Tamandua tetradactyla: one gene and its partners. The protein of the gene in region 2 purifies or fractionates together with the protein of the main gene of each other region. This does not show direct contact. Links are inferred from orthologs where the notes say so. Each region holds a gene or a part of one and is shown on either strand. Other genes may lie near its edges.

Region 1 (10,476 bases), on a different chromosome or scaffold from region 2:
CCTATGCCTTATGGTTATTGAAAAGAAATCTTTAAAAAGGTTCACAGCCAGAAGAAAATACCTAACATTAATTTTATCAATACATTTATTTAGCACCCATGAGCAAGTCATTGTGAAGGGTTCAAAGGACAATCAGATACAGCCTCTGGAAAGGAAGCTTAGAAGCTTTTTAATAACAAGAAGGAAAGTAGGGTAAAGAATTAGGAACAGAGTACTGTGAGAGTTAGGAATGTGGATAAATATTTCCAGAAAAGAAGATGGTTAAGATACAGGCAGAACAACGCGTGAAAACAATCAACAGGAAACTTCAACTCAATACTTACTCAACATCTTACTAAAAACAAAAAAGGCACTATGTGCAGCAGCTGCCTGTCAAGAAGATGAATAAGGTCCTTGAGTTTATCATTTAATAGAGGAGACAAACAAGTAACTATAATATAAGCCTGGAATGTGTTACCTGTCATAAGATAAATACAAAGGGCTAAAATTCATTCAATTAACAATGATAATCATGTAGACAGTCCTATAGTTGTAAAAACAAGATGACATCTGTCACCATAATACAGAAAGACATCAAAAGAAGTGGCATCTGAATTGTGTTTTGAGGGTGGTTAGGACCTGATCAAGCAGGTCCACATTCTTTGAGGAGAATGTGGAAAACCATGGCCCTCCTGGCTCTGGCTAGAATACAGAGTAAGTGAGGAAGGCAGGAGGAAAAACTAATGTGTATTAATTAGAACTTGAAATGCTTGGAAGATCACAAGGTGCAACCTAGGAATCCAGGGGACTCAATGAACAGGAAAGTTCATTTCTATAATTCACAGGCTCAATCTCAGATATGTATGCTGTTCTGTAACCTATATAATGGGCTGGTGATTCTCCTGGGCTAGCTCTCCCAGGGTACAGAAAATAGCACTCAGGGGACAAGAGAGCCAAAATTTGAGTGCCGAACATGTCTATATTTGTCAAATCTGAAAGGACATCTAACCTACCCCAAAATCCGGGATAAAATTTGATATATTTGAGCCACGCCTTCATGAGACAGGTCACTGAAGGTTGTAAATATGTAGGTGGTTTATTTCATTTGGACTGTAATTAGAATAGCTTCTATTTAATTTACATTTGGTAAATTAGCACATCATTAGAGGTAGATGAGGACAAGTGGTGGTGACAAAGATTCAATTTCTTGATGGAGTCACTAAAAAGTCCCACTTACCCTGCTAAATGAAAGTCAATGAAAGGAAGGGGGATAAAAAGATCCAAAAAGAAAAAGAAGTGAAAATTTTCCAGTTACTTCATTTAGTTTTTTTGGCCTTGTTGCCTGCCTGTACTCCAATGGCTCTAAAAATAGCATTTTATCACATCTTCTTAATGAGGCCCAATGTATTTTACCTATATTACTTCACTCAACAAGAAATAACGCCACTCAGAGATAAGACAAGAGGGAAATGACTCACTCAATGCCACTCAGCAAACAGGCGACTCATTCAACAGATTAACAATAGAAAAAAACTGCACATTAATTGTGTAAAATGGGAGGAGACCCAGAAAGGGGCAAGATTATATTTTTTAAGATTTTAACATCACTTCCCATCTATCTCCTAAAGAAATTAACCATCTTTATCCTACCAATCAACAGCTCTTATGCGTGCTTTCTAGTGTTCAGTGCCTGAACATCAACTGATATGCCTAACTCGAAAATTTATAAATACTATATGGTATGTAATATACAGTTTTCACTCTTTCTTGTGAGTCCACAGTACTAGATGTGGCCTGATCAACTATATATATTTCTAAAATGGTTTACTACTTTTCTACCTCAATAATAAAGTTGATTTTATCAAAGATGCAAAAAAAAAAACAACAACCAGGCCTACAAACTAGGTAAGCATGAAAGTCATTTAGCAGTTAAATTATTCATTATCATCACTACACATTCAGTCATCTCAATGAAGAGATAATGGCCTTTACTTAAGTCTGAACCCTATGCAGGTCAGTAGAAGCACCCTTTGCGGGCCCAGGTGTCAGGCAAGAGTAGTAGTCACAATAGCAGTTATGTTTTAGAGATTTAATTATTCTGCTATCCATCAACTTTACTTCCTAGTAAACTTATCAAAAGTGCGAGAAAAAAATGTGAACAAAAATCAAAGGAAGCAGAGGGATGAAGATTTAAGAAATGGAGACAGTCAAAAAAATCTATTTGTGCCTTTTAATATAGCATACTCTTGAATATCAAATGGAAGTTACCTTGTTAACCTTTAAAAGTACCAAACTGGTATAGGGAGCACAATCGCAAATATCCGAGTATTGAAGATGACTCATAAAATCCAAAAATATTTCATGCTTTAGGCCCTCAAAATTACCATCACTTTAACCCCTTCCTCTCCTTCAATCATGTTTTTCTGAATCTAGCATAAAAAAAATAATTTTTAACTAGTTCTGGAAACTGTAATTAAAATGCAGTGAATACAGAAAACCACATGCAATTAGATTTTAAAGCACTATCATTCCTATGTTTGATCCCCAGACTTACTCAGTAGTTAAACACCTTGTGTTAACTATATGTATGTTTATGGGAAGGGTTGTTTAAGAGTGTTAACTGATATGAGAAGCCATTTTAAAATTGATCATAGCTGCTAAGCTCTTTGTTTCATTTTCTAAGAATTCCCAGTTTATAATGTCCTTTAAAGGCTGAAGTCTCTTTTTAGATGAGAGACAACTACTATGATGAATATCAAAACTTTTTAAATTATGAGTACAGGAAGCTAGAAAATTTAGGCCTGAGATTTTTTTACCACACACTCAAAGACATTGAATTGGATTTTACTGTATTTCTTTCAATTCTTTTGGAAATAATAACATTATACTTATTTTTTAGTAAATGGAAATACAATGAGTTCAGAATAGCCAACTTCAAAGAAGTATCAAAGATACGATTTTTCAATATAACTTATTCCTCCTATTGTAAGGATGTACATTATATAACTATATCCTTGAGAATATATAGCGTATATGTAATCCCAATTACGATATTTCACCAAAATAATCCACTACAAAAGTTGCAGAATAGCAAAGACTTGACTACAACAGTCGAATAAATTATTCTGAAAAGGAAAAATTACTCAGTAAATGAAAATAAAGCAAAAACTCACAAATGAAAATAAAATAAAAACTCACAAGTGACAGTATTTCTCCGAAAACAACCAAACACATTAAAAATCGAAACTACTAGGGTTTATTTTTTTCTAGTTTTCAAGAATACTGGGGAAGTCCAGTTCTGTGAATTATGCAAAGAACAGCAAATATTAAGCTGCCTCTGTATTTATGCTATTGTACTTCCATTTTTAAAACGGGCATCTCAACTCCCCAGATCATCATCAACAGAAACCATGCAGCTATCCAACAGACTTTCAGTGTCACCATTTATTATTTATAGCATTAAATGGGGGAAGTGGCTCTGATGTCACCGACCCTACCCAGTGGAATCACTGACTCAATAAACATTTTCACACTGGAGAAAAGCTGGCTAGGAAAATATTTTGTTGGGTTAAGTAGATTCTTTCACTTTCCTCCCAACCCTGGGATAGTTGTTACTGTGTTAGAAGAGATACAAAGAAACTGTAAAGGTTTCCACAGGAAGAAATCCTGGGTATGTCCGTTTGCTGAAGCAAAGACTTCCTGCCCCCAGCTCTTCAAAGCCCAGTTTGATTTCCCTAACGCTCAGATTGGCAGGTTAATACCTGCCATGTTTTACTTCTTCTACCAAGTCATCCTCCAATTAGCAAATGCCTCACCTCTACTAACCACTCTCTAAAGGTTCTGCTCCTAAAATCCCCTTCTAAGGCAGAAAAAGGTTTGGTGGTGCCCATGGGCCAGGGAGTCCGGTCTGGCTGCCAAAGGTTTATAACAGAAGAGTGATCACTTCCCCAGGGACCAAGGATTCTTTTTTTTTTTTTTTTTTGAGAAGAAAGAACTGGCGGTAGTGATAAGGTCGGATCCCTCCACCCCAATTTCACAAAGCAGCTCCGGAAAACGTTAAGTTATGGTTTTCCTTTCCCGGGGGATAGAATCCTGAGTACCTGGGGCCTGGCCATGCATACATCTCTCTCGGCCGGGTAGGAAACCCTTTGTCCAAGAAGCCGGACACCACAGGAGCCCGGGAAAGAGGCCGCCTATCCGACACAGCCTCAAATCAGACAACTCCCCACCCCCCAGCCCTGCAGGGCCTATCCTGGCATCCACACAGCCCCAGACTGGGGAGAAGGTGCCGAGAATCCCCTCCTAGAACGCAGAGGCCGAGGTCCTTGACCCATCTCCTCCGTACCCCCTCCCCACCACAACTCACTCGGCCTGAGTGGGGCTTTCAAGCGAGGTGCGGGCCTGGGCCGGAGAAATAGAGGGACCGAAAAAAAAATCCCACTTCCAGAAGAGAACGAGATGCTAGAGCGAACGTAGAGCTAAGGAAAGAGCAAAAGCGAGCAAGGGTCGTCCAGCAGATGGGACAGGGGGCGGGGAGGGGGGGGGCAGAACTGAGGGGCATGGAAGGGGCCGGGCCAGGGCCGGCCTCAGATCTCAAGGGATTCCGAGGAGCTGCGTAGAGCCCTAGGCCAGGGAAGGCTGGGGGCCCAAGTCAGGGCCCAGGCGGCGAGAATGGACCAAGGCCGGCCTCGCGCCGGACGTTGAAGGGGGCAGACCCGTTCCGGGGCCGGACGGAGGAAAAACGGACCGTCCAGCGGGCCGCACTCACCATGAGCTCGATGGTCTTGTCCTCAATCACCGAGTCGGGCTCCATGGCGGCCCCGGCAGCCCCGCCTCGCTCTCCCCGCGCAGCAGCGAACGGCTCCGGCGGAGGAGGCGACGGCGGAGGCGGCACAGGCGGAGGCGGCTATCTCACCCACTCTAGCTGCCAGCCCGCCCGGGCCGCCGGCAGCTCCGCCCTCCCCCTCCGCGAACGCAGTACGCAGAGGGGGGACTACAGTTCCCAGCAGGCGCCGCGGTCCCCGCGGAGCGTTGTGGGAACGGGAAGCCGGCACCTGGCCAAAACTCTCCTGGTAGCATGAAGGTGAATTCCGGGCTGAACGTAGAGCGGGACTTTGAAGCGAGACTTGCAGAACTGAAGAACTGAACTCAGCGTAGAGCCTCGAGAGCGCACCAACTACATATCCCAGAAAGCCCTGCGCAGGGGCGCTCCTTCCGGTTACTTTCTCCTGATTTCCTGGGAGCCCAAGGCTGCCCAGAGCGGGACGGAAACTCCGGGGCAACTCCTCACTTGTCAGAGAAACTGCGTGAGCGGCCGATTTCCGCACATGCGCGGTCGGTGGCCGCAGTGCCCGCTGGACGCCTGGGTAGAGCCGCGGGTGTGGGCGGTGGTAGGGGCAGATGCTGAAGACAGAATGATTCTAAGACGCGTTAAGGAGGGATGCTGGCCTCGGGGGTTAGTTATGGGAGGGCTTGGTGTGCGAGAGAAGCTTAGACGAGGAAGGAAGCTCTGAGAGCATAGTCCTCCGAGAAGTGAGGGATTTGGAGATTTCTTTCAGTACAAGGAGATTTATGAGATGTGCTGTGGTGCCATCCGTATACAACACGAACTGAAAGGAGCTGGGAGATATATATTGAGCACCTCTTTTCATTCATTCATTCAGAAAATATTTTTTTAAGCAACCAATTTCTGCCGGCCCCACCCTAGGCACTAGGAATCAGCTCATGAACATGGCATCCTGTTTTCATGGAGCTTAATGTCACGGGGGGTGGGGGTGGGAAGGGGGGGCGGGCACGGGGCTGGGGGCCAGACACAGGAACCAAAAGAATGATGCTGAAGAAAGGAACATAGCTGAAAACCTGGAGACTCCTTCCAGTGAACTCTGCCACCAAGTCTGCGTGAACTTTGTCAGGTGTGTTGGTGTTCTCCAGCCAAAGGCCATCAGGAACTCAATCGTAGTTAAGCAAGTTGGGTTTATTAGTCACAGCGAAGGAGCCTGCACACAGTTGGGAAAACGCAGGGCTTCTCAGGAAGAGTTGTGTTAGGTGATTTGGGGGGAGGTTTAAGGAAACTGGGGCTTTACTCAGAATTAGATGCTATCAAGAAATGGGGTTAATTCTGTGACTGTGCATCTCAATAAATCTAAGCTGGAAGGAGGGAAGACTGGACGGAGGCCAAAGCTGTAATTGGTGAAGAAACCGCCCACCCTCATATTAGCCAAGATGGAAGCTGTGTAGTCATTTTTGTGGTTTGGATAATGTTCTTGTTTTACCTATATTCAGGCATGATTATGGAGTGGTCTTGTTTCTGTCTTGATCTAACACAATCACAGAATTGCCTTGTCTGATGCTGATGTTCTGTGAAATTGTTTAGGCTCAACAGAGCACAGGACCTAGCTGGGACTGCCAGGCTATCATCTAGTAACATTATAGCCTGCTAATTATACTAGGCCAGCTTCCAAGTATCAGAGGCTGCTTTTCTCCTTTTCCAGTGTTTTTGCATTCTCTACAGCTGTAAGATGAGGGGCCTGGATGACCTAAGAATTTCTCCCTTTCCAAGGGCCAAGTTATTACAGTAATTTGTGTGCATGCAGGCAGGACACAACTTAAATTCCCTGCGGCTAGGGTTTGAAGTTTCACAGTTCTTTTCTGGTGCTTTTCCCCAACCGCTAAAAGAAAAGCAGTAGGAAGAAAGAACACAGGGTTGGAAAGTTATTGCCATTAAATTGCTGTATGAACTTTACCCGTTCCCTTTCCCTTTCAGGGTCTTGGATATTCATTAGTAAAACAAGGGGATTAAAACTAATGATTTCTGTTTCAGTTACCTTTTGCCACATAACAAACCACCCCAAGACTTGGTGGTTTAAAATAACAATGGTTTATTATTTTCCACAACAGGGTGGGTTGACTGGGCTCAGCCAGACAATGCTTGTGTTCTGCATGGTGGAAGCTAAGGTTACTCATGCTGTTACATTGCATTCAGCTAGGAGCTCATTCAGAATGGCTACTCATCTTCTAGGGTCTCTCTTTTCCACATGACTTCTTAATGTTCATTATCTTGCCCAAGCTTCTTTACTGCGTGATGTCTTACTTCCAGGAAAGCAAGCCCTAATGAGCAGATGCTTATCAATCCATTGCTTGTACCATACTTTTTAATGCCCCATTTGCCAAAGCAAGTCATATGGCCAGGCCCAAAGCCATGTGGGAAAGGACTAATTCAGTGTGTGAATACAAAAAAGCATGGTTCTTTGGAGGCCACCAGTGTAACTACCAACTAAGACCTCTGAGGACCTAGCTCCTGCCACAGAACCTAGGACACAAGGCATATGGCAGGAGTCACAAGCCGAATGCAATCCTCTCATATGTTTATTTATCCTAAAAAGCTTTTTTATTATTTTAAAGTTCGACAATCTCATACTTTTTAAAAATCTAAATTTCTATCCTCTCGTGAAAACTTATAATCTCACTCTTGAATCTGCATGGCAACAATCTTGCAGGGCCTAGGTAAAAATTACCTTCTTTATATGAAACATGTACTCTGTAGTATTCCACAGTCACCACCACTCCCTGTGGTCTTCTATCAGCATACTTGGCTAATTTACGTATCTTGAGTTTGCAAACCCTGGCATCGGAACTGCAGTGGATATAACCAAAGATTTCTGACCTTTTATTAAAATCATATGGTACCTTACGAGGCATGTCTATACACTTAGACTGGATTGTATGATGTGTGAATAAAAATGAACAGAGAGAAATAAATGCTAGAGAAAATGCGGAGAAAGACATGTACCTATTCACTGTTGGTAGGAAAACTGAGAGTTACAGCCCCTTGGAGGGCAGTGTGGTAGTTCCATTGGAGGCTAGGGGTGGGGTTGCTATATGATCCTAAAATCCCATTGCTCAGTATATACTGGAGGAACTGAGAATGGGGACACAGGTGGACATTTGCACACTGGTGTATATGGTGGCAGTGCTCACAATCCACAATGGATGGAGGCACCTAAGGGTACAATGACTAAGGAATGAAAGGGGAAACCAGGGCATATACATACAGCGAAGTACTGAATGGCCTCAAGAAGAAATGAGGTTGAAAGGCGTGCAACTAGGTGAATAAATGCTGGAAACTGTATGATGAGTGAAATTCAGAAAGAGAAAGACAAATATTATCATACCTCACTCGTACTGACTGACTATGATACCAAAACTTGGTGAACTGCTGTCAAGAGCATGGGTTATCAGGTTGGAGCCTATTGTAAAGTGTCCTAGATTGTAAGCTCTTACACCAGTCACATATTTTCACGAGTTGTAAATGTTATTTCTAAATTCTGAGATACTGAACTCAACAATATTTATAACCTGATGGTTCCCAGAAACCAGGTATTTATGGCACCTGAGACTCAGAATTAGAGCTCTGAAGCTATGAAAGTCAGCAGTATCCCATACAGAAACTGTTTAAAAAGTTGAAAAAGGACTCTGACTTCAAGTAGAGATTTGACGCTGACTTGGACAGCACTGAGGTAAATCAGAATACAGGGTTAAAGGATGATACTGTCCATATTTTAAAACTTCAACTTCTGTGTGAGACCAAAGGGAAAGATGTTTATTTGGTGCAAAATTTATATTTTGGTGAATTGAGTAGATTGAAATACTAGTGGTCAATGAGAGGGACAGGTAAGAGGTATGGCATGTATATTAGCTGTGATTCTCTAGAGAAACAGAATCAGCAGCAAATGTCCATAGATATAAAATTTATAAAAGTGTCTCATGTAACTGTGGGAATGTAGAGTCCAAAATCCATATAGCAGTCTGTGAAGCTGACGACTCCAATGAAGGGTCTGGATGAACTCCACCGAAGAGGCTCACCAGCCAAAGCAAGAAGACAGCCTGTCTCTTCTGATTCCTCCTTAAAAGGCTTTCAGTGATTCTATCAAACATCATTCATTGCAGAAGACACTTCCTTTGGCTGATTACAAATGGGTGCAGCCGATGTGTTCATGAATTAATTATATGAAATGTCCTCATAGCAACAGACAGACCAGTGCTTGCCCAACCAGACAGACAAGTACCACCACCTGGCCAAATTGACACATAAACCTGACCATGACAGTCCACTCCTTTTCAACTTGGCAGCTATATACATCACCTTAAACCATACTTAATTTCTAAACAGAAAACAATAAAAGACACTTGTTTTCCTTACCTAACAATACTCAACTGTCCTGTGTATAACTGGAAACATCAAATCTCCCCAGAATAGGATTCAAGTCCTTGGGTAATATTCATCCTTAAATTTGATGTCTTACAACTTAAATACTATAACATGAACAAAACAGCATTACAGTCCTCTTTTCTGTAACTGATCATGTAGTCATAGTTCATATTTATCACTACCTTCTTCCACTACCCATTTCATGTTTCCATTACCCTCATCAAGCTCTTCAGCTGGCCATGATTCTTTGTCTGGTGGGGTGACTTAAACCTTCATTCCTGAACTTTCAGAGCCATTGGTAGTCCTGCCTGGATTGGGTTGTTTCCATTTTCCATTAATTTTAATCACAGGGCATGGTAGTTCTAGAAGATGCTCTAGGGGATCTCCTATATTCCAGGAAAACTCTTCTTTATCTCCATTGTGTAGTTGCAGTCCTATTTCCCCCGATAGTCAGGGTCAGTCACCCCAACCAGTAGTGTAATCCCCTTCTTGGCTTGTTGATCCAGGGGCATGAGTAGCCCAGTGACCAGGTGACAGTCTTAGATTCCAGTTCAATGGAATCAATGTTGTTTCTCTTGGTAGGAGCACTTCCCCACTTGGAACTAAAACCTGTAGACCAGCAGAGCTCAAGGTTGCAGGGACAGGAAGCAAACATTTTCTTAGTGGATCACTAGGAGTAATAGTGAGTGGTGCCACTTCCATTTCCACCCCTTGATTCCTGGACCCATGGATCCTGGCTAAGGGAGAAACAGCACCATACAGTGGACGCTGAGGTGGAAGGCCCCTGTATTTTTACTGGATTTATTTCCCATCCTCTGGCATGCAAATGCCTTACCAGTGAGTCTAGAATAGTTGCTACTTCTGCTCACTAGGTCCAATCAACATGATATCATCAATATAATGGACCAGTGTGATGTCTTGTGGGAGGGAGAAATGATCAAGGTGCTGCGGACAAGATTATGACGTAGGGCGGGAGAGTTTATATACCCCTGAGGTAGGACCGTGAAAGTATATTGTTGAACTTACCAGCTGAAAGCAAACTGTTTCTGGTGGCCCTTACTAACAGCTATTGAGAAAAAACCTTTCTCAATATTGAGAAAAAAGTTTGCCAGATCAATAGCTGTATACCAGGTACCAGGGGATGTTTTTATTTGCTCAAGCTGCAATTGGAGTTACTACCTGGTTGAGCTTACAATAGTCCACTGTCATCCTCCAAGACCCATCTGTTTTCTGCACAGGCCAAATAGAAGAGTTGAATGGTGATGTGGTGGGAATCACCACCCCTGCAT
Region 2 (10,574 bases):
ATACCATGGACACTCGCTGTGTGGGGGAGGGGAGGGTGGCCAGGGGTTCATCCCAAGAGTTAGCCCCACAGCACTGCTGAGACCCTGCGTGGGAAAGCCTGGCTGGCGGAGGGCCTGAAAAGCACCAAGACTCTGCCAGGACTAGCTGAGTGGATCCTGGACAAATTACTTAGTCCCTGAATCTCAGCTTCCTCAACTGTAAAATGCACTCATCCAACAGAGTAGAGCAGACTAAGCGAGGTGAAGAAGAAGTAAGAGAGGTGGCCAGGGGCCAGAAAAGGCCATCATGGCAGACCTAGCTAGCTCTCCACAGGACTGCGCTACTTGCCCAGCCAAGGACTGCATTTTTCTCAGCATTACCTACATCTAGACTTGCATCTAGATGGACCCAGGGGACTGCCTTTGGGCCAATGAGATGTGGACACCTTCAGGCCCATCCCAGCAGCTCATTTTCCATGCCCTGAGACAGGCCAGATTCAGAACCTATCAGTGTCGCTTGTGAAGCACTTGTTACCTAAACTCTTCTCAGCTTCTTGGAAGACACTAGCTTCCCCTCCAGCTGGCACACTCCCTATCTGCCCCTCCTGCCTGTTCACTGGCCAACTCCTCTGCTCTCTTCTGCTCACCTTTCGGGTTTTAGCTTAAGATGCCACCTCCTCCAGGAAGCCTCCCCTGAACTCGAAAAGATGGGCACTATTAGCTTCATCCTAGATGAAGAAACTGCATAACAGAGGTTAAGTGACTTGCCCAGCATCACACAGCTAGAAATTAGGGGAGTTGGGTTTGAAGCCTGTGCAGGCTGATCCAGGGCTTTTACCATCATTGGTTCCTAAACCAGAGGTTCTCAAAGTGTCTTCCCTGGACCAGCAAGATCATCAGCAGGGAACCTGTTAGAAAGGCTAGCTCTCAGGTTCCAATCCAGACCCACTGAATTAGAATCAGGGGGTGGGGGTGGGGACTTGGGAGGCAGATCAGCAATCTGTGTTTAAACAAGCCTTCCAAGGGATTCTGACCTACACTGAAGTTTGAGAACCACCAGCCTAAAGAAATTTTCTGCAGTTTGGCCACCTGCTTTTCAGCCCCTCCCAGCGGAGCCCTTGCTAGGACTTGCTGGAAAGCATCACAGCTCAACACTGTCCACCCTCTCACTCTCTAACCATTTGAAATGTTTCTCTGGAAGTTTTATAGCTCTGGGACTTTTGGTGGGGACCAGGAAATTGTCATCTTCTGCCTTATCATCAGTGTGTTAGTGACTCACTCTTTCCTCTGTTTGAAGGCTTTTTGTTTTATGTCCATTATCCTTGGCTGCAAACACTTGTTCCAGCAACACTTTAGAACTCAAGATGCTTTCATCCCAAGCTCAGACATGGTCATCAGAATACCCACCTTCTTCCAGTCACATTTTCAGTTCATTAGGGTAACAGTCTGCAGTTTCTCTGACAGCAGAATCTACTTATCTCCAGCATACAATCATTTTTTAAAAACCAGTCCAGTCAGCTGCTATTACTTTGAATGTAAACTTCCCAGTGTTGACCTGGTCCTCAAACTTTCCTGCTTCAGCTTTAAGAACTGGACTAGAAACAGTGAATCCTAGAGAGTGAGCTTAAGTAACCCACTGGTAAAGAGCTGAATCCAAATTTCTGCTATTGAGCCTCAGCTTTCTTCCTCACTGCCTCCAGCATCCTGGCAACCAGACACCACCCTGCCAACCAAAGACTGAGCAATGCTTTGGGGAAATCTGACCAGCGCAAGATAAAAATCCAACAGACACCCTTCCCCGGTGAAACAGCATGGCCAGATCACCCCAAAGGAAAGACCCCAGCTTGCAGGTCTTTCCCACCCCCACAGACTTTCCACGGAGCCCACTGCAGGCTCAATCTCTGGGGCATACAGCCAGGTATCATCAGATATCTGAAAAAGTATCTCATATGAAAGACAGACCAAAAACAAACCCACAAAAGAAAGCAAGGGAAGCAAACTGAGGCTGTGCAAGAAGAATACTTAAAAACAAACAAGCAAAAAACAACCATACATTAATATCCTTAGAGTGAGAAAATATTTCCTCCACAAAGTAAGAACTAGATGCTATTTCTTTTTCAAACAAGACAAGAGTACTTGGAAATTAGTTATATTTTTACAAAAATGAAAACTTTAACGGAAAGTTGAAGATAAAGTCAAGGAAATCATCTAAGGCAAAGAGAACAGAAGCTAAGAGATAAAGAATGAGAACATCAGAGAGCCAGTCTAGGGATCTAAAATAGAATATTAGGAAAGTGAGAACAGAGGAAATAAAGGGGAGGAAATTAAAAAAAAAAAAGGCAGACTATTTCTCAGAATTGAAGGACATGTGTTTCCAGAAAGAAAGGGCCCAAGTTCCCAGCACAATACAAAGGAACAGACCACACTGAGAACCACATTATCCTAAATTTTTAGAACAAGGAGAAGAACCTAAAAACTTTCAGAGGGGAAGAACAGGTTCCATGCAAAGGTTTAGGAAATCACCCAGTCCTTTTTAGGGTAGTCTTAGGGTAGTCTCTGGCCAGGTGAGTTTACTATTTTCCATTCTTGAAATGATCTAGCGCATTTCATTTTTCACTTTTTCCAGGCAGGGAAAGCCTTCCTCTTGCAAGATAATCTATCATGGTTAGGCACTATAGCAAATTTTATAGGCACTATATATTAGTGAAAGGTAAGCATTATATTAGTCAGGGTAGAGACTCACTGCCATAACAAACGGCCACAACAAATTTCACTGGCTTGAACCACTAGAGGTAATTTCTTGCTCACATCCCATTCCAGTGTGGGACGCCAAAGGGAGCTCCGCCCGCCTCTAGGTCTTACAGTGTTCTCCCTTGGGCTGCCAAGTGGGGACAGAGTGGGAGGTTTTTAGGGTCCAAGCTTGTTAGGAGAAGCACACCACCTCGGCTCGCATTTAGTGGCCAAAATTCAGGCATGTGGTTCCCATCAAATTGAGAAAATTAAGGGGGGCCCATAGGCCAGACAGAGAGAAGAACATGGACATTGGTGTCCCCCAGCTGTCTCTGCCACATACCACATTAAAATTGCCTCAAGAGCGGTGCGATGGTAGCTCAGCAGGCAGAATTCTCACCTCCCGTGCCTGCCCATGTAGGAAAAAAAAAAAAAAACTGCTTCAAAATCAAATCAGTGATAGATCCTTAGTCAGCCAAAAAAACCACGGCTCTGTCACAAAAAGCTACAAAATAAAAAATGGTGAAGCAGAAGTGCACAACTGTTACAAAAACAGATCTCCAGTGATATCAGGCCCTCACTTCCTGCCTCACCCCTCATCCCAGGTAGAAGGAAAGAACTTAAGACTTCACTCCCATCCACCCCAGAGAAGAGGGGCCTAGCAGTTGCACACTAATCCCAACCATTTTACACCTGAATTCATGTCATCCAGAGACTTGACTGTATTTGTTGAATTGACAAATGAACAAATGAATGAATGTCAGGTGCTGTGGGGGCCACAGAAAAGGAAGACAATGCATACGTCCTTCTCCAAAGCCTACCTCCTTCCACCAGCATCCTTCTCAACTCAGCTTATATATCACCTCCTCCAGGAAGCCTTCCCTAGTACCTACGCATACACACACACACACATACAGTGGGCAATATCAGCTCCCATCTGCTTGCTCTGTCTTTTGCCAGTTAGTCCATCTTGCTTATTAGAGTCTGCTGTTTACATGGCTGGCTCCCACCTAGGGAGTTTCTGAAGGTCTAGGGACCACTCTGGGCCTTGGTTTCCTCCTCTAAAATCAGAGGGTGGGCCTATGTTACTGCTCACTTCTCTGCAGCTCTACAGCCTGTCCAGAGGTCTCGGAATGACCACGAGCCCCAACACACTCGCTGTGAGCCAGGCACTGCTCTAAGCACCAGCACACATTAAGTCGCTCTAATCCTTACAGGGACACTGGGTGATAGATGGTAATAGCGCACCCATTTTACAGATGAGGAAAATGAAGATCAGAGAGGTTAAGCAACTTGCCCAAGGTCGCCGTGCAGGTAAGTAATACAGCCAGAATTCAAACCCAAGCTTCAAGTTGTTTCTCGCCGGTGGGTATCTCGGTCCTATTCTCCTGGACCAGGCACCCAGGACCAAGGACCCAGAAGTTGGCCTTCCAGAGAGCGTCCGCACAGGGCACATCTCGTCTCCCCCTCGCTGCCACGCAGTTCTCTGTCACACTCGCGTCGCAGCTGGGGTGGTTCCCCACCAAACCCCGCGCTCGCGCAGGCGGGTCTAGACCTGGGCGTACCCGGGCGGCCCCCGCTCCGGTGCCGCCACTCGAGTGTTAACGTCCGGCCCTTTGGCGCACATGTCCGCGGCGCCTGCCAATACCGCAGCAAGGGCGCGTCTAGAGGGTCCTCGAGGCTCCAGGAATTCGGGCTGACGCAGGCCTCGGGTTCAGGGACCGGGTGGGGTCTGCGGCTCCAGATTTCGCAGACGCCAGGAAGGCACGCTGCGCCCCCCTCCGCTGGCCCGGGAGGAGCCCGGGGCGGGACCCCGGAGTTGTCTCTCGCAGCCAGAAAGCCGCTATCGCGTGGCCACCCAGGCTGCCGTTAGCCTGCACGGCTCCCCATTTTACAGAAGCGAAACACTGAGCCCTGGAGAGTTTAACAACCGGAGGAGAAGCTCTCCACTGCCCACCCACCCCCCCACCCCCCATTCCTACGCTCCCCTTTGGCGCGGCCTTGGGCTCACTCCCAAGTGCCAGACCCACGGCTCTCGCGGCGCCGGCCTCACCGAGCGCGGAGGCCCGCGGCGCCTGATCCCCGCCCCGCAGCCAGCCCGGCCAGCACCTTACCTCCCTCGGGCGTGCAGGCGCGGCAGCCGCTGCTCACGGCCGCGAGAATCCAGAGGAGCTGGCAGATGCTCGCGGCCCGGTGCTCCAGGGTGCAGGGAGGGCGGGCCCCCCGAGGGTGCCGGGGAGCGGCGAGCTGGGCGCGCGGGGCTGATGGGTCGATCCCGGCGCGCGGGGGACGCGTGCCAGGGGCCGGAGAGCTGGCGACGACGAGCGAGGCTGGAGTGGCAGCAGCGACCGGAGCGCCAGCGTCGGATCCCGGCAGGAGGCGAGCGGCGGCGGGGACTGGGACTGGGGCTGGGGCTGGAGCCGGAGCAGCGGGCGGGGCGGGGCTGCGGCCGGCGGGCGCACGGCGCGGCACTCACGTGGGTGCCCCCGGCGGCGGTCCGGGTTGTTGCAGCCGCCGCTCTCTGCTGGCTGCTCCGGCGCTCTCCGGGTCGCCCAGCACGATAATAGGAGCCGAGTCCGCTGCCGGCACCCCCGGCGCGCTGAATGCAGAGCTAATGCGTGGGGTGGACCTGGCCCGCGGTGGCCAGGTGGGCGCCCTCCCAAATGGTTAATTCCAGACGGGGTGGCGGACACCCCTCCCCACCCCCACCCCCAGCCTTCCGGTCGCCTTTTTCCTGTATTCATTCGAATCCTTTACACAATTACTAATAAAACCATCCCGTTGCTTGTTGGAATGTTTCTGTACGTAAACTTAAAACATTTTAAAACGAAATAGCTTTGCTTTTTCTGCGTACTGCTTTGTAATGAATGACCTAGGCATTTGTGATATTTGCTATTAGTTGTGTCACTATTTGATTAATATTCCCTCCAGACGTTCCTTACCTGCTTTGTAAATTGCTGTATTCCTAATGCTTAGTACAGGGCCTGGCACATAGTAAGAGCTTGATAAATACCAGTGGAATGAACGAATGGATGAATGAATAAATATGGAGAGGTAAAAAGAAGAAAGGGAAATAAAACTAGTGTTAACTACTGTCAGTATTTTGATATATCTTTCTAGACACTTTTCTAGGAATAAAAATAATAATTGTGACATTTATTGAACTATCTCATCCCCTCTTCACACCGACCTTATGAGATAGGTCTCTTTGGCTCTGCTTTACAGATCATAAAACCCAGGCTTATAAAGACACTGGCTTTCCCGCAGTGATGCAGCTAGGAAGGACAGAACAGAACTCAATCCAGATTTGTCTGTTTTCAAAGTTTTCCGAGGAACACACATTTGTATGTTTAGTTATGTATAACCTCCATCACCACAACCCCCAAGTCTTCTCAAATGCCTGCTCTTGGCAAACAGTTTCTATTTTGCAGAGAATCTGAGTGTTTGGGGTCTGCTCATCGGAGTGTATCTGCCAGGGTGAAGCTGAGTTGCTCCGTGAAGTAAAAGGGGAAAGGAAATTGCAGGATGGGGTGGGGGTCAGGGGAGCAAAGTAGCAACTAACTGCTAGGCACTGTGGGAGGAGGAAGGGAGAAAAGGACTTCCAGTAGTGTCTAGTGGGGGTATGTAAATAATTTGGACTGTGCAAAATAAACCCCCTCCCTGTGCCCCTCGATGAAGCTCCTTTGTGTGGGTGAATGAATCCTTCCATGGCCCTGGAGAGAGTGCTGAGTTCTTTGTCCAGGGGAGCCCCAGGCAAGCTCAGAGACTGCAGGGTGCAGGGAGACCAGGAACAGAGACAGCCAACTCTTCGTTATATGTAGACCCCATGCTGTCCTGTGCATCACTCTCCTCCTCAATACAGGTTGTGAACGTGCTTCTGTGGCCGAGAGCCACCCTGTCATTTGTAATGCCTGCTTGAATGTGCCATTTGGGGACCTCATGATAAGTGCTGATATTTAGAGGACATTCGCTTTGTGGCAAGCACTCTGGTAATGGCTTTACAGGCATTATTTCTTTTAATTCTCATCACAACCCTATTATTGTCCCCAGTTCTTATATAGTGAAATTGTGGCAGGTTACATGACTTTCCCAAGATTTCACAGCTAGTAAGTGGCAGAGCCACATTTGAACCCAAAACTGTGTCTATCTTGGCTCTGGAGTATCTAGTCTAAGCCTCTATTCCTCAGTATTTGAGGCCCCTGAAAATTCAGATTCCCTTGTGGGAGAGCAGGCCTTCAGGTTTATCAGCTTCTATGCTATGCTCTCTGCTAGGAGCAGATTCAAGTTTATGATGCTTGGGTGTGGCAGCAGGGTGACATACAGGGGATTTTCATAAGGTGGGAAGAGAGGATGAGGAAGAAATGGGCCTGAAAGTCACCACTGAGTGTCTCACACTTTGACCTCTGCCCTACAAGTTTTGGGAAAATACAAAATCTAGAAATGCAATTTTGGTTTGGAGGGTTTGTTCTTTTGGTCATTTTGAGAAGACTCGTCTTGTTTTGGTAAAACCCAGAATTGCAGCTGAAATTCTGGCCCTGGAGAAGCTGAGCCAGAAGGAAAGTCAAAGACACCAAGCTGATCTGTTTAAGCCCAATGAAACTCAAATAAAGACTCCATAACTCAGAGCTCCGTGGCCTCAGGCAAATTACCTAACTTCTCTAAGCCTCTGTAAATGTGTCTTGCAAGCAGCATTCACCTCTCCTTCCGTGAACATCTTGATTTGCCTCCGGGAACCAATCCATTCTATTCTCAATTCCTGAGATTCAAATCCTTCCCCTCAGCTCTGGCTACGGGAGTGGACACATGATCAGAGCTGGCTAATTGCCACGTGCCATCCCTTTAGTCCCATTGATTGGTTCAGGGATGAGAAAGTGATCCAAGCTAGGCCAATGAGATTCTAATCTGGGACTTCTATTGTAACCACAAGTGCGATGGTTTGGAACTGTGTGTGCCCCAGAAAAACATTTTCTTAACCCATTCCTGTGGGTGTGGATCCACTGTAAGTAGAAGCTTTTGATGAAGCTAATTCACCATCTCATTCAGGATAGGGCCTGATCTTGTTATGGGGCCTTTTACAAACAGAATGAATACAGAGAAAGAGAGAGAAAGCTACAGAACCAAGAAGCCAAAATCAGTGAAACCCAGAAGCCGAAGTAGAGACCAGCAGATGCTGGTGGCAGACAGCGGGGTTGCCAGCAGCCAGTCTCTGGGAAGAAAGCATCGCCTAGATGATGCCTTGATTAGGACATTTCCACTGCCTCAAAACTGGTAAGATGATAAATACCCTTTGTTTAAGCCATCCCATTTCATGGCATTTGCTTGCAGTGTCCTAGAATAGTAAGACAAGGAAGAGAATTTTTCTTTCCAGGGAGTTGTTGAGCAGTCAGATGCAAGCCTTGAGTTTCTGGGCATTTATTCATATGGCAAATATTTTTTTAACATTTTTTATTGGGAAAGATAACACATTTACAAAAATGACAATACATTTCAAAGTACATTGTAACAGTAATTATAGAACAGATTTCAGAGTTTGGTATGAGATACAGTTCCACAATTTCAGGTTTTTCCTTCTAGCTGCTCCAAGACACTGGAGATGAAGAAATATCCCTATAATGATTCAACAGACATACTCATTTGTTAAATCCTATCTCTTCTGTTATAACTCCTCTTTCTCCTTTGACCCTTCTCCTAATTTTTTTTTAATGTTTTAACCATAAAGTATAACATATATACAAAGTAAAGAAAGAAAAAAGCAATAATTTTCAAAACATGCTTCAACAAGTAGTTACAGAACAGATCCCAGAGTTTGTCATTGGCTACTATTCCACCATCTCACACTTTTCCTTCTAGCTGCTCCTAAACACTTGAAGCCAGAAGGATTATTATTTTAGTGGTTCAACAGCCGTACTTGTTTGCCAAATCCTGTCCTCTCTGTTATATCTCCTCCTTCTTCTTTGACCCTTTTCCCAATCTATAGGGATCTTTGGGCAATGCCCTTTCTGACTTTTTCATGTTGAGAAGGGCTGCCAACACTAAAGGATAGGGGGATGTAATTAATTAATAATCTTGGAGAAGCTGGTCCCTCTGGGTTTCAGGATTTATCTGACCTAGGAACCTTCTGGGAATTATGGATTCCAGGAAAGCAAACCTAGTGCATGAAACTTTTAGAGAGTCTCGGTTCAAGCTCTAGGTATTCTCAAGAGTGAACAGGAGTGATACTGGTTGGAGTTTAGCAAACCATGACAATCAGTACTATCTAACTGAAGCTTGCATAAGAGTCCCTTCCTGAATAGCCTCTCCATACCGCTTGATCTCTCCTGGCCACTGATGCCTTATTTTATTACACCTCATTTCCTCCCCTTGATCCAGAAGGCATTGTCAATCCCACAGTGCTGGGACCAGACTCACCCCAGGGAGTCAAGCCCCACAGCTCACAGGGCAGATATTTATCAATTTTCTGTTGTGTGTGAAGTGTGGTACTGGGAGTTGGAGATAAATCCTGCCCTCAGGGAGCTGTGCAAAGGGTGAGAAAATGGAAAACAGAAGTCACTCAAACAGTCATTGCGCCATTAGCACGATAAACTGTGAGGCATGTGTGAGTGAGAAGTGGCAATGAGAGATTATAAAGGCAAACCCACCTGGTCTGGAGGTCCAGGAGGGCTTCTCCAAGGTAGTGGCCTTTAAGGTGAGTCCCAAAGGAGGGGTAGGGATCCCTGCCAGGAACTCGAGGGAGACAAATATCCCCAGTGACTTCAGCAGAGAGAAGTGGGGCGGGGCATGCTTTGTTATTGCTTGTTTCTCACTCACCTCCCTCACCTTCACACAAGGCTATTCTGACATTATTGGGGAGTTCAGGGTAACAAACAAAAATTAAATATGAAAGGGAATAAAATTAAACTGTACCTCAACATGACTGTTTCCAAGAGCAAAAATAGTTGAACCCTTCTAGGGAACCCTTCACAGGCTCAGTCCAGTTCCAAACCTTGCTGGGCTGTCCCGAGGCGGCCCCTCGCAAGTGGGTGAAGTTCCCCTCCTCAGGCTCCCAGCAGCAAAATCCCTCTGCTATAAAAACTCCTCTCCATTGCTCAAAGGGATTTTTTTTCCCTTCCCTTTCTCTCCACCAGAGTAATTCATGGGACTCACTAACCCACAGGATGCAGAAGTTACGACTGAGAAAGTGAAGCAAAAATTCAAAGAACAGGGAGAAAATATTTGCAAATCAACTATCTGATAAGGGACTTATATCTGGACTATATAAAGAACTCTTACAACTGAACAGCAAAAAGATAAACAATCTGGTTAAAAAATAGGTCAAGGACTTGAACAGAAATTTCTCCAAAGATATACAAATGGCCAATAAGTACGTGAAAAGATGCTTAAGATCATTAACCATTAAGAAATGCAAATCCAAACCAAAATAAGGTACCACTTCACAGCCACTAAGATGGCTATAATAATAATTTTAAAAGAGGAAAATAAGTGTTGATGAAGATGTGGAGAAACTGGAACCCTCGTGCATTGCTGGCAGGAATGTAAAATGGTGCAGCCGCTGTGGAAATCAGTTTGTCAGAGCTCCATCCCTAGGTATATATTAAAAAGAAATGGGGTGGGGTGGGGGGTAGGGCATAGACTAAATACACCTAAAGAGTCGGAGAAAGATCAAAGGTGATGGTGGGGTTATACACAGAAAGTACGGTATAACAAATGATTGCTGAATCATCATATTGATCTTTCTTTTAGTCTCCAGTAATTTAGAGCAGCTAGAAGTAAAAATCTAAAATTGTGGGATTGTAACCCTACCAAACTCCGAAATCTATTCTACAACTAATTGTTGCGATGTGCTCTGAAAGTGATTGCTGTTTGTA
Region 3 (10,273 bases), on a different chromosome or scaffold from region 2:
TATATTCATCACCATGATCATTTCTTAGAACATTTGCATCACTCCAGAAAAAGAAATAAAAAGAAAGAAAAAACTCATACATACCATACCCCTTATACCTCCCTCTCATTGACCACTAGTATTTCCATCTACCCAATATATTTTTTCTTTTTATTTATTTTTAAACTTTTTTATTGTATAGTATAACATATATACAAAGCAAAGAAATCAAAAGCAATAGTTTTCAAAGCACTCTTCAACAAGTGGTTACAGACCCTCTCATATTTTTCCTTCTAGCTGCTCCAGAATATAGGAGGCTAAAGGGCTTAAATACTTTTTTATCATCACAATCGACTTTTTTTCCTCCTTTTTGTTTTTTTGTGAAAACTAACATATATACAAAAAAGCTATAAATTTCAAAGCACAGCACCACCATTAGTTGTTGCACATATTTCAGACTTTGACATGGGTTACATCAATTTTCTTTTTTTTAATTAATTTATTTTTTATTTATGATACATAACCACATACAAACACAAACATTCTTATCACATGATCATTCCATTCTTCTTATATAATCAATAACTCACACTATCATCACATAGTTGTATATTCATCATCATGATAATTTCTTAGAACATCTGCATCAATTCAGAAAAAGCAATAAAAAGAAACAGAAAAAAATTCATACATACCAAACCCCTTACCCCTCCCCTTCACCGATCACCAGCATTTCAATCTACTAAATTTATTTTAACATTTGTTCTCCCTATTATTTATTTATTTTTAATCCATATGTTTTGCTTGTCCGTGGATAAGGTAGACAAAAGGAGCATCAGACACAAGGCTTTCACAACCACACACAGCCATATCATCATACAATTATCTTCAAGAAACATGGCCACCGGAGCACAGCTCCACATTTTCAAGCAGTTCCCTCCAGCCTCTCCATGACACCTTAACTAAACAGGTGATACCTATTTAATGCGTAAGACTAACCTCCAGGATAACCTGTTGACTCTGTTTGGAATCTCTCAGCCATTGACACTTTGTCTCATTTCACTCTTCCCCCTTTTGGTCGAGAAGATTTTCTCAATCCCTTGATGCTGAGTTCTAGCTCATTCTAGGATTTCTGTACCATGTTGCCAGGAAGGTCCACACCCCTGGGAGTCATGTCCCACATAGAGAGGGGAGGGCAGTGAGTTTCTTGCTATTGGCCGAGAGAGAGAGGTCACATCTGAGCAACAGAAGAGGTTCTCTTGGGGGTGACTCTTAGGCCTAATTTTAAGGAGCCTATTCTTTGCGGGATTAAGTTTCATATGAACAAACCCCAAGATTGGAGGTTCGGCCTATTGCTTTGGCTGTCTCCACTGCCTGTGAGAATATCAAGAATTTTCCACTTGGGGAAGTTAAATTTTCCCCCTTTCTCACTATTCCCCCAAGGGGACTTTGCAATGACTTCCCTATTCACTGTTCAAATCGCTCTGGGATTTATTTGGGCATCACTCTGGACAAACCTACAAAATCTCATGCTCTATGCAAGGTTCCAAGTACTATGGTGTTCGATTAAGCTGTCCACATAAGTTATATTAGGAAATGCACTAGTCAAAATATAAATTTTGTACCAAGTAAACATTTTTTGCTTGTCTCACACATATGGTCAAGTTTTAAAATATTAATTACTATCTATTTTCAACACCCTGCATTATTGACATTAGAGGAGTGAGTCTTAATGAGGACAGGGAAATGAAGAGAAGTATGTGTGTGTGTATGTGTGTGTGTATGTGTGTGGCACTCTTTCTTTAGGGCCCAGCTAAAAGTGTATCTCTCTATCTGACTGAAATGTAAATAACCTTTCCCACTTCCTCTGGACCTCTTGACCCTAGGATTAAGTCTATCAGATATTCAAATAGTTGATGGTGTTTTTTACTGTTTGTTTTAAAATTAGATAATGACTTTGCTTCCAGTCAATCTTGGGCAGCCCTTGGCAATCCTTAGAAAATGTAGTTTTTTAGAGAGGGGAGGGAAAGGTAATTCTAGAATTTCCTAGAATTTGGAAAGCAAGTTAGGCTTGGAAGGGGACTCTAGATAGCAGAGGTCAGCAAGAAGGCACTGGACACCTAAACGCCAAGGCAGTGGTCTCAAACTTGACTGCAGATTAGAACCACCTGCGGGTCTTTTAAAACAACCATCACCCAGGACCACCCACAGATCTTATTCAATCAGAATAGCTGAGTGGTAGCAGAGGTGTGTGACTGTGGGTAGAGTTTGGGCATCAACATTGTTTATAAAGCTCCTCAAGTGACTCTACTGTGCAGTTAGGGTTGAGAATCCTACCAGATTTAGGAGAGGGGATGCTAAGGGAAGAGGAAAAAGCACAGGCATGTGTGGAATATTTCTGGCTTTGGCCTATTTGTTAATCACCAAACGCATACTGGGGGGTGAGGTTTAGAAGAGCAGATTCAAGTGCTTAAAGAAAGGCAAGATCATTATGAGTTGAGGGTTACCTAGAGAAGCGATAATTTGCAGACTGGCAACAAAAAAAGTTAGATAATTCCAATGGTGACAGAGAAGTGACATCCTCCCACACTGCTCATGGAATTGGAGAATGTTATGGCCTTTCTGTACTGTGATTTGGCACCACATAGTCAAATTAGGTATCCTTAGGCTACAAACCAGTAATTATGGTTGTGGGTATAAATTCCCAAAGATACTCTTACTCATGGGACATGTAGGCAGTGGGTCACTACAGTGCTATTTGGGGCAACTGGATTCTGGAGGCTTTGCTGGAGAGTGGATAGGTAAAACTTGGGAGATGTCATCATCAGAATATTAGCAGTTAGAAGCAACAAGTTAGATGTACACATGGAAACACGAAAGGTTTTTTTCTTTTTACTGGGGAAAGGCTTTATTATATTACTTAAGATTTAAATTTAAGATTGGTTTTTATCATGTCTAACTGAACATATGGAACATATGGTGTCCGTAGTTACAATTAGAGGCGGTTTGGATGACATCATTATAAAAAGCTCAGTGTTTTTTTATTTCCAGAATTTTTCTGCCCCTAAAGATTCATGGGAAGATGATCAATATCTTAAGAAGAGAAGAAGCATTCTACCTGCACAAGCATGCCTTGAAGATATTGCCAGTTTGGTTTGTAGACCACTGCAATAAAGCGAATATTGCAATAAAGCAAGTCACATGAATTTTTGGTATTCTAGTGTATATAAAAGTTATGTTTATAAACTGTACTGTAGTCTATAAGTGTGTGGTAGCATTTTGTCTAAAATATCAATGTTTATACCTTAATTAAAAAAAAACTGTAAAAACAAACGAACAAACACATTTATTGTTAAAAATGCTAAACTTGGGGGCAGGGGGTGCAAGGGTAGTTCAGTGGTAGAATTCTCGCCTGCCATGCGGGGGACCAGGGTTTAATTCCCAGCCCATGCACTTCCCGAAAAGCAAACAAACAAGCAAAGAAAGAAAGAAACAAATACCCAACAAATGATGCTGCAATAACTGGATACCCATATGGAAAAAGAATGAAAGGTGATGCCTGCCACACAGCATAACAAAAACAAAACAAAATAAAAAACAAACAAACAAAAAAACCCAGGAAAAATGCTAACCACGATCTGAACCTTTAGTGAATTATAATCCTTTTGCTGGTAGAGAGTCTTGCCTCAATTAATGGCTTCTGACTGATCAGGTTGGTGGTGGTTGAAGATTGGTGTGGCTGTGCCAATTTCTTAAAATAGGACAACAATGAAGTTTGCTACATCAATTGACTCTTCCTTTTACCTTAACTCTTAGAGCACATTGTAGGGTTATTATTTGGTCTAATTTCAATATTGTTGTGTCTCAGGGAATAGGAAGACCATGTTGTTTACCAAGCTAGACTTTCATTAAAATCACAATGGGGTCATCAGGTCTAATGCTTTAGTTCTGGCTGTCGTAGTGAACAGATCTTTCCTGGTGGTGGCTGGTCAGGACATGGAAGTCCGTGCTCCGCCAGGAAAGAGTTTTTGAAAACCATAGGTACAGGGTGCAAAATGTATGAAACAATGAGATACATATAAAACAAAATTACATCTGTGAATTAAAAATATAGCATACAAAGCATCTATTTTGCAAGAACCATATAAACAAACAAAAAGGAAACATTGCCTATGGGGGAGGAAAAAGGGGTAGAACTGAAAGAGATATCTGATATCTATAACTGGTTGAATACGGAAGCTAAAGGACAAGGGTGGGTCAAATAGTACTCTCAGCTCTTAAGCTAGGAGAATGGGAGCAAGGAATCTAGGAGAAGCGATTTTTCATGTTAGAAGTCCAGTTTTCCAGTAAAGTGGAGCTTTAAAAAGGTTCTAATGATTCAGTATTTTCTGTGAGCAACTGTGCCAAAAGCAAGCTCATAGATGCATACTGTTTTCAGTTGGCAGAGAACTTTGTTTTCTAGATGACAAAAGAGAGGGCCAAAGTGGTTTGGTTAATTACCCAAAGTCTACCAATTAACTGATGAAAGTGGGGGCTAGAATCAAGTCTCTCAACTTCCAGTCCAATGATCTTTCCTAAAACCTGAGTTTTCCTTAAAAATTAAGACAGTTCATATTTGGATTTCTGTTTGCCTGACCATGACTGGTTCATTTTAAAGAAGGAGGATTTACTTTTTCTGTGGACTGCCTCTGCCAACTGACTTTCTGCTTAGATTCCCAGCTGGTTGGGCTTTTAAACAAAAACTCTTTGAATTTGCTTTACTAATCCTCATCTGTACCTGCTTGGACAAAGTGAGGATTGTCACTGACCGCCAGCTTCATCAGGCAATGTTTTCATACTCTCGTACAGATAATAAAGTAAAAAAAAGTGACTGTTCAACTTCAGAGGTGTTTTAGTTTTCTAGGCTGCTCAAGGCAAATACCATGGGTTGAGTTAAAAAAAAAATAGGAATTTATTTGCTCACAGTTGAGGCTGGGAAAATGTCCAAATCAAGGTTTCATCAAGGAGATACTTTCTTCTCCAAGATTGACTGCTAGCAATCCTTGGCTCCTCTGCCACTTGGCAAGGCACATGGCGGTGTCTGCTTATTGCTGTCTTCTCTCTTTCCCTGTTTTCAGGTTCTTGCTTCTGTGGTTTTCGCTTTGTCTTGCTTGTGTTTATAAGGGATTCTAATAAGCTTAAGACCAATCCTGAATGAGGTGTGTCACACCTTAACTGAAGAAGCCTCATCAAAAGGCTGTTTACAATGGGTTCACATCACAGGAATGGATTAACTTAAAGAACATATTTTTCTGGAGTACATACAGCTCCAAACCACTACAAAAGTTTTTTTCTTTTTTTTTTTTAAGTGGAGAGTTTAATTCATTTACAAGTAATATTGAAAATGTAGGACTTGAGCTATTTTGCTATTTGGCTTTTGTAAGTCTTATACCTCTTTTGTCCTTCAATTTTTCCATTAGTTGCCTACTTTTGTATTTAGTTGATCTTTTGTAGTGACCCATTTAGAATCCCTTCTCATTTCCTTCTGTGCATACTTCTTAGATATTTTCTTTGTGGTTTCAATGGGGCTTAAATTTGACTTACCTGAGCTCTAAACACCAGAGAATTTTCTCATTTGAGTTCTGCCTGGCCCTGTCTTGTTGTGAGAGAGACTAGGTTCCTCGGAGAGGTGTGGAGTGACAGTTTGGGTAGACTTTTAAATTTAGTAGTGGGTTGGAGGTGCTGCCAGGTGCCCATAGAGCCAGCAATTCTGGGTCTCAATCCCTCCTGCAGAAGTGAGATATATGAAATTTGGGTTTGACCAGCTCTCCACATTGAAAGTTAGAGAGGTCCTAGCACCCCCGAGTCTTGTAACATTTTTTCCCAGTATGTGGGTTACTGGTGAGGCTCTTTCTGGCCACCATCTTGATGGCAAATGCTAAGCAAGCCGCCACCGGCGTCGCACGTTAACCACGGAGATAATCTGTGCATCCTCCCGTTTTCTATCCTAGAGGCTGTGAACTACAATTCCCATCAGCCGTTTTTCCCTAGTTGACCACGAGTTGTCTAAACTTTGCTTATCGACAAAGGCAAACCTGCGGCAATGAACAGCGGGAGTCGGGACTCTTGGTTGCCTCACTTACTGCAGCGGGAAGCTCCAGAACTACAAATCCCTTGAGCCACAGGGTTTACGCATGCGCACAGCACAAGCGGGGGGGGTCCCTGACCCCCCCCACGCCGGTGCCTAAGAGGTAAGAGAGGGCGGGGGAAGGAAGAGGAGGCGGGATCCGGGCGCTGCGTTGGCTGAGGCCTGGCACTAAGGGGGCGGCCCCGGTTGAGAGCAGACCCAGCGGCCCCGGGAGATTATGGACCCGGCCGAGGCGGTGCTGCAGGAGAAAGCGCTCAAGTTTATGGTGAGGAGGAGGGGCCGGCCGGGGAACAGTGGAAGCGGTGGCGTTGGTGGCGTCGCTAGGAGTCGGGCCTGGGCCGCCCGCCGTCCGGGGGAAGGGACCCGGGCACTCCGAGCCTAGGCCGGCAGCCGAAGCGGCTGGAGGGCCGGGACCGGAGCTCCGGGGAGGCGGGAGGGGGTTGCGGAGCAGACCCGGGGGTGGGGGCAGCAGCTCCGCCATCTTGTGGATGAGAGGCCGAGTGACAGCGGGGAGCTTAATCGGGGAGGGGGCTCCGGGCCGCGCGCGGGGCCCTGGAGGGAAAGGGGCGTGGGGACAGTTACTGAAGAGCGGAGAAAGCTCGGAGGATAGACTCTGCGTGGCCGCTGGCAGGGCCTTCCCGGTGTCAGGGTCACGGATAAGGCCCAGGAAAGAAGGTACATTCCAGCGTGGGGAAGCGGAGCGCGGGTGGGTGGGAGGACAGATATTGAGGGTAGGTGGAAAATGGGCAGACCTAGATGAAGATGGATCTAAGGGTGGAGGAGGGAAACCAGGGCTGTTGGGAGGCGTGTAGAATTGTAGAATGAAGTGGGAGATAGCATTTGCCCTGAGGCTAAATCTTATCTTAAGCCAAACTAGTGTTGACAAACTCTGGAAAGGAGGAGGCCTTATTTAGGAAGATAAGGATGGAGATGGTGACCTAGGGCGATGATAACAGCCCTTGGGAAAGGAGGGTGGTGTTGACTGTGGGCCAAATTACAAATGACAGGAAAAGGGGTATATACTCAGAAAGGAAAGGCTGTATATATAATATTATATATATTAGGAATAAGGTGATGAAAAGCAAGAGGCTGATTTGTCAGGGAAATATGGGTATAGGAGATTGGGGGAAAATTAAGATCTAATAAGGTAAAACAAAACTTAGAGCTAAATTGTGGAGGTAGTGAACTGTAGGGGTGGGGACCTGTACGATGTTCTGGGAAAGGAAAGGGCATGTAGATTAGAATTGCAAAGACTCCTAAGAAGCAATGAGAAGAGTGGAGAAATTCAGAAAATGAAAGTGGGGTTGTAGGTAGTAGAGAATGGGAGGTAAATCAGGATGGGGGGTTGGTTACCCATCAGTTTTAGGTTGAAGCACAATGTTTGCATGGATTGGATTTTGTGGGTGTGCTGGAAACTCTTGCTTTAGAGCCGATTTCTTTAACTTTGTATCATGCTTTTCTTTTTCTATGCTTATGTTTGGGAAATTTGTGTAGTCTGATATTTGATGCTTTTAATCTGATACTTCTTGTATATCCTAAGTGTAAAGCCAGACTTGATGGTTTCAGCTAGAGTGAGGGGATACATAGATTTCTAGTTTAGCAGGTGGCTTTAGGGACATGGGTGTCATTTGCAGTCAAGTCTTACTTTTTCAAAAGTAATTGTAACCTGCACTCCAAACCTTATTCCTTTGTTAGATAGTTTCTATTTTGTACCCTTGCTGGAAATAGTATAACAACTTCAAATCTAAATAAACATGTATCACTAACCTGGATTGAATTTAGGCTTTAAACTGCCCCATTTACAAAAATGTTGTTCAAGAGACTGGTCCAGTTTACAAAGTCTTTGTGTTAGGTCTTTCAGAAACACCTGATTAAAGTTTGACTATCAAAAACAAGAATACATTAAGCTTGAAGAAGGTTCTTGAATTTCTGCCCAATGTTGAAGAGAAACTTGAAATTTTTTTGGACTTTAGTAGAGGAAATTGCTTGATTTCGTTACCCAGCTTCTAGATTTATTTTCAGTTAGAAAAGTGGCAGATGCTTACTTTTGTTTCCCTGCTTAGAGGGTTGACTCTTAATCTTCATCCTGACACTGTGTCACATTTATGGAATAATGTGATTTATAGATCATAAAGAGACATTATGAGATCATTTTCTTAACTTCCCATTAGACCTCAGCCTATGAACATTCTCAACTGCTTGATTTCTGTTTTGTACCAGTGAGACATGTTTCCATAATGGGCTCGTGATTGAATTATATTGGACCTGGAAATGGCCATGTCGTAGTTCACAGCTTTTGGGGTACCATACATTATTAAATGTTGAGTCAGTTTCCATAGGGAGAAATCAGTTTTTCTTTAATTTGACTTTCATTTTTTATCTTACTTGTCACTGTGGCTGTTGTTTGAGAAAAGGCCAACTTGAAGAGGGTAACCAAAAATGACACCTTAATAACTGAAGCAGACCTCGGAGAACCAGAGATACGGTCTTCTCTTTCAGCTCAGTAACGCTCTAATTATGAATCTGAGTAAGTCCATTTGGTCCCATCCACCCTGCTATAACATGCTTGTTTATTCAGAATGAATTTTGAGATAGGAAGATAATTTATTTGCGCTTGCCCCAAGCAATTAGTATACAGTACATATGGAAAGGTTAGCCTTTTAATCAAATTGGAATTTTTGTGTAGTATTTGACTTTGTTCTGGCTGCTATCCTTTCCCTCAATTGTGAATTACTGATCATAACTTTTGTACAAATGCCTTGATTTCTCTAGTTTAGAAAGATGTAAAATTTGTTTAAAATGTCAATAGGAAATGAATACTCTCTTTGACGAATTTTAGTCATGACCACATTAATGTAGTGCTTTGTTTAGGAATTTTACAATAAAATCTTATTATGAGACTACTAATCCATAGTGGGCTGTTTAAGTCACATATGATCTAGACTTAAAGCTTATCCTTATCTACTTGTGAAAAATACTTTAAGCAGGGGTGCATGGGTAGCTTAGTGGTTAGAATGCCCACCTTTCATGTGGGAGACCCGGGTTCAAGTCCCGGACCATGCACCACCCCCTAAAAAAAAAAAGCTTTAAGCAGAATATTAGGGTCTAAAAACAAATAAATCATATTAAAGCAGTAGTTTACATTAAATGACCCATATGCTAATCTACTCTCATTCAGCTTTAGCAGGTCCTCAAGGACCTTTTCTAATATATCTGTGGTCAGTAAAAACATGATACCTCAAGAAAGATAAGTGGGAACTTGAAGAAGACCCAAGAAGAGAAACTAAAATGATTGTGAGGATGAGGCACACATATATAAAAGGTGTAGGATGGGTAGATAAGCCAAGGAATGAATTTTATTTGAAGTTTATTTGAAAAAGTGGACAGTATACATATATTCTTGTCCAACTATTCCTAGAATTTTAGAACGGGGGAAACACTTGAAACTTGATAAAATAATTTTAAGACATATAAAATACAATATTTTAAAAATAGAATTGGTAGATAACTGAAACAGTATAAAAGCTTAACTATTGTTGCATAGCAAACTACCCCCAAATTTAGTAAAAAAAAAAAACCCTCTTTATTGTTTCCTTCGATTCTGTGATTGACTGGTAGTTTTTCTGGACTTTACTTGGTATTGGCTGGGGTGCTAGTATGGCTGGAATGTCCAAAATGGCCATACTTACCTAGCAGGCCACTGGCTGGTAAGGCTACTCACCAGGGCTAATGGCCTCTCACCATGTGGCTGCTTGAATGGTAGCTAGATTCAAGAAAGAGAGTTCTAGGAGACAGAAAGAATCTGCCAGTTTTCTTAAATCCTTGATTTGGAAGTCCCAGAAGGACAAAATTTGTCAGAATTTGTCAAAGCCAATCAAGGCCAGTCCAGAGTTAGAGAAGCTTGTTGACGTGAAGTGTGGCATCTATAAACAGAGATGAGGGAATTGTGGGGACTCTCTTTTGAGACTGACAACCATATATATTAATGTAATTGGCTGTTCTTGATTGTATTTGTATGTTTCCATACAAATGGGATTAGCCAGGTCTGTAGGTACTAACTCTAGGAATGTGTGGTAGGTGTCTCATTTTTGAGCTTAATTTCTAAAAGAACTAATGTGATCTCATGATGTTATGTCACTGTAGAACTATATTGAGGTGAATAAGTAT

What was found.
Region 1: the proteins of EEF2K (region 2) and FBXW11 purify together in Homo sapiens (affinity purification with mass spectrometry; 7 studies listed by BioGRID and IntAct, with this or other methods). This does not show direct contact. The link is inferred for Tamandua tetradactyla from reciprocal best matches to the Homo sapiens genes EEF2K and FBXW11.
Region 3: the proteins of EEF2K (region 2) and BTRC purify together in Homo sapiens (affinity purification with western blotting; 4 studies listed by BioGRID and IntAct, with this or other methods). This does not show direct contact. The link is inferred for Tamandua tetradactyla from reciprocal best matches to the Homo sapiens genes EEF2K and BTRC.

Annotation. Positions count from the first base shown.
Region 1 is NC_135346.1:53,350,632-53,361,107, forward strand, and holds the start of FBXW11 (F-box/WD repeat-containing protein 11), read right to left. Parts: upstream 5,211-10,476; 5' UTR 4,793-5,210; coding exon 4,748-4,792; intron 1-4,747.
Region 2 is NC_135349.1:35,058,952-35,069,525, forward strand, and holds the start of EEF2K (eukaryotic elongation factor 2 kinase), read right to left. Parts: upstream 5,112-10,574; 5' UTR 4,824-5,111; intron 1-4,823. UniProt on the Homo sapiens protein: Threonine kinase that regulates protein synthesis by controlling the rate of peptide chain elongation.
Region 3 is NC_135339.1:62,879,127-62,889,399, forward strand, and holds the start of BTRC (F-box/WD repeat-containing protein 1A), read left to right. Parts: upstream 1-6,216; 5' UTR 6,217-6,323; coding exon 6,324-6,371; intron 6,372-6,650; exon of another isoform or gene 6,651-6,781; intron 6,782-7,465; exon of another isoform or gene 7,466-8,623; coding exon of another isoform or gene 8,624-8,633; intron 8,634-10,273. UniProt on the Homo sapiens protein: Substrate recognition component of a SCF (SKP1-CUL1-F-box protein) E3 ubiquitin-protein ligase complex which mediates the ubiquitination and subsequent proteasomal degradation of target proteins. Recognizes and binds to phosphorylated target proteins.